2 linked regions of the Xenopus tropicalis genome follow. The protein of the gene in region 2 purifies or fractionates together with the protein of the main gene of each other region. This does not show direct contact. Links are inferred from orthologs where the notes say so. Each region holds a gene or a part of one and is shown on either strand. Other genes may lie near its edges. The genes, in order: dcaf7 and hipk2.

Region 1 (2,611 bases), on a different chromosome or scaffold from region 2:
TTGTAGATCCAAGGTTATTTAATGCATTTTCATAAAACATCACCCAAACTAACACTGAGAGCAAGCCTCTGAGCTTATAAACCAACTTGATACAGTAACTCTATAACTTCTTTAAGCTGACCTTACTTAATATGCCCACCTCCAGGTGGGCGATTTCAGACTGATCCTAGGGCCAAACGATCAGATCATAAAAATGGGGATACAGGCCATTGGGATGGGATTTTTAAACCCCAGATTTCATCCAGATATTGGTTTGGTAGGCCCATTGGAGGGCCCTAAAATAAACAGGTGATAAGCTGCTGACTTGGGCTGAATGAGCAGCTAAAATCTGTCCTCTGGTCCATATGGTTATCTTTAGTTTTCATTTGCCTTTCGAGCAAACACATTTATGTACATGCATTGTACTCTCTTTTAGGTGGATATATAAACCAATTCAGTGCAGTTACTCTATACCTCTTACTTTTTAGAACACTCTCTTTAGTCTTCACCTAACCCCTAATACACGCTTCAATTGCCTCCCTAGCAAGCCGATATTAACTACATGCAGTGTTCAAGTGGACATATAAACCAGCTTGATAACAATATACTGTCCCTGTCTGGAACAAATCAGACCATCATATATCGGCCATTTCCCTCTTGTGCTAGGACTTTCTATTGTTTGTATTGTGGGTATAGGAATGTTCATTGGACTGCAGAATAACATTATTTTCTTTAACCTTCAGGAACCTCAAGTATTGATACAACATGCACAATCTGGGGTTTGGAGACTGGACAGGTCCTTGGCAGGGTTAATCTGGTGTCTGGACATGTGAAAACGCAGCTCATTGCCCATGACAAAGAGGTGAGAAGCCTTTGGTTTATCGGTAGGAAATGTGATATGGGAAGGTATGTACAGACTATCCCATGAGTGAGTTCCAGTCACACTTCTCTGAGGCTCTCTATAGTTTGCTGGGTTGCTTTGTGCTGCATGCCCATATTGTGGCTGCGGGGGGATTGCAGTTGTGGGTAAAGAGACACCTGACTTAACGGGTCTGGGTTGCTAGAGCCTTTAGATTTGTTCAGAGAGTAGTAATCGGTTTGAAGACCTTGTACAGGTCTAGGCCCAACCCATTGCTCTTGGGGTATCTGTAAGGGCAAGCACAGAGACGTGTTATTCAGGCCTTTACCGTGCTCCCTATTCCCAAGGGGGGTTGTTGGATGGTTAGTGCCTTTCTCTCAGCGGGAGGTGGTGGCACCTCCTTCTCCTTCATCTGCCTCTGCCGGAGAATTTAAAAAAAATGTGTGGTGTCGCCATCTTGTATAGCAGGAGAAAAGTCCAGATATATGGAGATTGTGATGCCATTGTATAGAATCGGGCCTTTGAGCCTTGCTACGCTCAGAGCTGCGACCCGTTCCCTAAAGTTGAGCAGTTTGAGTCGGAATGGTGGTCTTGGTGGTGCTCCCGGTGGGGGTGGCCTGGGAGGAACTTGATGGGCTCTTTTCACCACGAATAGTGAGGAGAATGTATCTGCTTCCACTACATCCTATAGCCATTTGCAAATAAATGCCTCTGGCTGCTGTCCCTCCACCCTTTCGGGAGCCCCACTATTCTGATCTTGCTCATCCTAAGTCTATTCTCCAGGTCTTTGTTTTGTCCATTAGTGCTTAGATTTGCTGTTACTGATGGCATGGTGTTGTGTATGGGGTTAATTGTATCCTCGGGAGACCTGAGTTTCCACAGCAGCAGTGCGGCCTCTCATGTATTAGAGGTCCGGGCGCAGGAGGGACAAGTTGATCTTAATCCCTTCTATTTGTGAGGTAGTGGCTGCTCTAGTTTCTTTTATAGCTTCCAATAAGTCCCCCATTGTGGGCTCGCTAGGCTCTTGGTTGGGAGGGGGGCCTGGTGGTTCTGGCGTTAATGTCTGGCAGAAGCTTTTGTCCAGCGGGAACCTGGCTGGGTGAGTGAGGGCGTAGCCTCTGATCTCATACATGGAAAATGTTTGCCCATGTTGGCTTTTAGTACTGCATTCCAGTGGTTGCTGGCAAACTGTGAGTGAGTAGTAAATGGAGTGTGGAGTGAAGAGAACTGCCAAAGAGATCAATCGATACACAGAGCTCTCACTTTATGCATCTGGTTTGGTCGCCATCTTGGACACACCCAAGTGGTGTCATTTTTACAGCACCAATTGGAGATGGGAATAAATTACATTAGAGCATTATTCAGGCAGCAAAAGATGGGGCATTAATAAATTAAACTAGGAAAGGTTCAGAGGAAGTCCTAAATGTCTTGTCATTGTTTTCCAGTGTACACGGTGATGGGTCCTGCAGGTTGTGCAGTTATAGTTACACAGGGTTGAAAAAATCCAAAGTCCGTCAAGTTCAACCCTTCCAACTGAACCCAGTGCAGTATGAATGAGTTAGGTTTTTTTAACCCATATGAATATAAAAGTATTTTCTTTCCCCTCCCCTGTGTGTGACAGGTCTATGACATTGCATTCAGCCGTGCAGGAGGGGGCAGAGACATGTTTGCCTCTGTGGGGGCAGATGGCTCTGTGCGAATGTTTGACTTGCGCCACCTGGAGCACAGTACAATCATCTATGAAGACCCCCAACATCATCCATTACTTCGACT
Region 2 (3,929 bases):
GAATTCTATGAAGTCAAAATCTTCCTCTAAAACCACCCAGACAGAGCACTGGGCTGTGGGATCCGCTGGTGCAGGCTTTTTTATATAATAATATAATCTTTTGTCTCTGCTTCTCGCTGCAGTCGGACTGACGCAGACCGCAAAGCCGCAGAATTGTGCAGCCACTGCAGCAGAAACCCGTACGGCGTTGAACATGTTAAACGGGGATATGGGGTTTTATTTTTTGCTTAAGCGCTGTAATGTACTAAAGAAGGGTATGTTCTAAAACAGCCCCGACATTGTGCCCAGTGGCCTGTCACACGGGGAGGGATCGCTTTATGGCACTTCCATAAAAAGCAGTTAATAAATAACCCTTCCCTGTTATATAAGAACTTTATCCCGAGTAACAGTCTCTCGAAATAGATCCTGGGCAGTTTCTATGTGAATATGTAACAAGGCAAGGGCAAGCGATTCCTCTGTATTGTGCCTTGCTGGGAGTCAAGGAGTTAATGAGAATTCATTCTACACCCTTGCAGAGCCACAGAGGGAGGCGCTGGGGATAGAGATATATATATATACACACACACACACACACATACATATATATATATATATATATATATTTACCTATATACACACACACTAGTTTTTTCAAGGCCAAACTAAGATAATAAAACAATGGCAGCCCCCCCCCCCCCCATCCTTCCTACAGAACCAAGGAGAAAAAAAACTCAAGTTCAGTTTAGATTTTTAACCCCTCGCCCTATCACACCCATTATTTACAGGCAGCCCCTGTGGGTGTATAAGTAGAGACAGAGGAATATATACAACATATCCCGTATAATAACAATATATATATAATAGAGGTGAGAATTTGGTGTTGAGGTGAGGTAGAGAAGAGGGGGTGCAGGATATTCCATATTGGAAATAGGGGGGCAATGATATAGAGTGGGTTCTAGAAGAGGGGGAGCAGGATATTCCATATGGGCAATAGGGGAGCAAGGATACAGAGTTGGTTCTAGGAGATGAGGGGGTGCAGGATATTCCATATTGGAAATAGGGTGGCAATGACACAGAGTGGGTTCTAGAGGAAGAGGGGGTGCTGGATATTCCAAATGGGCAATGATATAGAGTGGGCTCTAGGAGAAGAGGGGGTGCAGCATATTCCGTCTGGGCAATGATATAGAGTGCGTTCTAGAAGAAGAGGGGGTGCAGGATATTCCATAGGGCAATAGGGGAGCAAGGATACAGAGTGGGTTTTAGAGGAAGAGGGGGTGCTGGATATTTCAAATGGGCAATAGGGGAGCAAGGATACAGAGTGGGTTCTAGGGGAAGAGGGGGTGCAGGATATTCCATATGGGCAATAGGGGGGCAAGGATACAGAGTGGGTTCTAGAAGAGGGGGTGCAGGATATTCCATATGGGCAATAGGGGGGGCAAGGATACAGAGTGGGTTCTAGAAGAGGGGGTGCAGGATATTCCATATGGGCAATAGGGGGGCAAGGATACAGAGGGGGTTCTAGGGGAAGAGGGGGTGCAGGATATTCCATATGGGCAATAGGGGGGCAAGGATACAGAGTGGGTTCTAGAAGAGGGGGTGCAGGATATTCCATATGGGCAATAGGGGGGGCAAGGATACAGAGTGGGTTCTAGGGGAAGAGGGGGTGCAGTATATTCCATATGGGCAATAGGGGGGCAAGGATACAGAGTGGGTTCTAGGGGAAGAGGGGGTGCAGTATATTCCATATGGGCAATAGGGGGGGCAAGGATACAGAGTGGGTTCTAGGGGAAGAGGGGGTGCAGGATATTCCATATGGGCAATAGGGGGGCAAGGATACAGAGTGGGTTCTAGGGGAAGAGGGGGTGCAGGATATTCCATATGGGCAATAGGGGGGCAAGGGTACAGAGGGGGTTCTAGGGGCAGACACAATGCAGGGCAGGGGTAAGTATGGAAGGGTCCATTTGCAGATGGGGGGGCAGGGTGTGGAAATGATAAACACGGGGGGCTCCCAATGTTGGGAAGGGGGGGGGGTTGGAATTAGAAAATCACCCTCAGCTGTTCCTTACCGCAGTCTGGGTCTCTCCACCGCTGCCATACCGGGGGCCTCTCTGGACGCGCTTTGGGGCTCCCCCCACAGAGAATAGGGGGACAAGCTTGTGACCCTGCCGGCTCCCGTCCGCCTCCCGCATTGATCAGTCAGTCAGAGCCGCTGCAGGTCCGGCTGCTCCCCCATCTTACCCGCTGCACCCCAATAAGCACCGGGAACGCCAGTGGCCTGCCCTGGAAGGTGAGCGGGGGGGGGGGGGGGTAAATGCAGATATTGTTTCTAATCAACGCAGCCCCCCTGCTGGCAGCTATTAGAAGCCCCCCCGGGCAGCCTTCCAGCCCCCTGTGTTCCCCTCAGTCCGCACCCCCATGCAGGGAGCCCCCGCACCCAGCCTCCCAGCGAGCTGCACGGAAAGTTGCATTTAGGAAAGAGAAAAAGGCAGAGGGGGGGGGGGGTGCGATCCCTTCTCTGTGTGTCTCTTTCTCCTGCCTTCGCGGAGCAATCGAGCGCCGATCGCATGGATTCCAATGGGGAGGGGGGGGGGGGCGGGGAGAGGCTGTACTTTCTCAAAGTGTCTCCCCCCTCCCCTTCTCCTCTTCTCCTCTGCTGGAGAGGCTGTGTGGGATTTCTGTTTAACCAACACATTTCAATCAGGAGTAAAAGGGGGGGAGGGGGGGATCCTATTAACCCTTCATGGAGTCACAAAGGAGCTTGGTGCAATGGGAGAGGGGGGGGGGGAGGCAGCCTTGCTGTGTTTGTATTGGGGGTGGGTATTGAAAGAGGTCATCTCCCCAGTCATTATCCAGCTCCCTGGGTAGGTTTTATGAAGTGCAAGCTCTTGGGGCTGGGGGGTAGGCCCAAGACTGCATTATTATTATTAACGTTTATTTATAAAGCGCCAACCTATTCCGCAGCGCTGTACAATAAGTGTACTACAGGTGGGCAAAATCGGGCGAATCTAGGCTAATTCGGTTCTAATCGAAACAGAACGACGGGTATAGAAAAAGTCGAATCGGGGACCACATCCGACTAAATTATTTAAGCTGCCGGATCGATATATGTCTGATTTCAGGCCAGATATCGGTCGGGCAGGCCAGTCGTTAGTGCCCCTACACAGGCAGATAAGCTGCCGAGTCGGTCTAAAGGTGGCCATACACGGGCCGACTATAGCTGCCGATATGGGTCCCTTGGACCGATTCGGCAGCTAATCGGCCCGTGTATGGGCAGGGCAGAGCGGCCTGGCCGACCGATATCTGGCCTGAAATTGGCCAGATCTCGATCGGCCAGGTTAGAAAATCCGGTCGGATCGGGGACCGCATCAGCTCGTTGATGCGGTCCCTGATCCGACTGCCCCATTGCCGCCCACATAATCCGATCGTTTGGCCCCAGGGCCAAACGATTGGATTATTTTTTTTTTTACCTAAATGCTCCCCGATATCGCCCACCCGTAGGTGGGGATATCGGGGGAAGATCCGCTCGCTTGGCGACATCGCCAAGCGAGCGGATCTGCTCGTGTATGGCCACCTTTAGGGACCCATATCGGCAGCTACAATCGGCCCGTGTATGGGGACCTTTAAGCTTGGCGATGTTAGCAAGCAAGCGGATCTTCTTCAGATATCCCCACCTACAGGTGGGTGATATCGGGCGAATCCAGGCTAATTCGGTCGTTTGGACCTGGGGGCAAACAATCGAATTAGAGTGCCAGTAATAGGCGAAGTCGGATCGGGGAGCGCATCAATGAGTCGCTGCAGTCCCCGATCCGACTAAATTTTTGAAACTGCACGATTGATATCTGCCCGATTTCAGGCCAGATATCGGTCAGGCAGGCCCGTAGGTAGTGCCCCTACACGGGCCGATTAACTGCCGAATCGGTCTAAGGGACCCATATTGGCAGCCAGGGGCG

What was found.
Region 1: the proteins of hipk2 (region 2) and dcaf7 purify together in Homo sapiens (affinity purification with western blotting; 3 studies listed by BioGRID and IntAct, with this or other methods). This does not show direct contact. The link is inferred for Xenopus tropicalis from reciprocal best matches to the Homo sapiens genes HIPK2 and DCAF7.

Annotation. Positions count from the first base shown.
Region 1 is NC_030686.2:16,434,710-16,437,320, reverse strand, and holds part of dcaf7 (DDB1- and CUL4-associated factor 7), read left to right. Parts: intron 1-722; coding exon 723-841; intron 842-2,459; coding exon 2,460-2,611. UniProt on the Homo sapiens protein: Involved in craniofacial development. Acts upstream of the EDN1 pathway and is required for formation of the upper jaw equivalent, the palatoquadrate. The activity required for EDN1 pathway function differs between the first and second arches.
Region 2 is NC_030679.2:7,975,052-7,978,980, forward strand, and holds the start of hipk2 (homeodomain-interacting protein kinase 2), read right to left. Parts: upstream 2,529-3,929; 5' UTR 2,046-2,528; intron 1-2,045.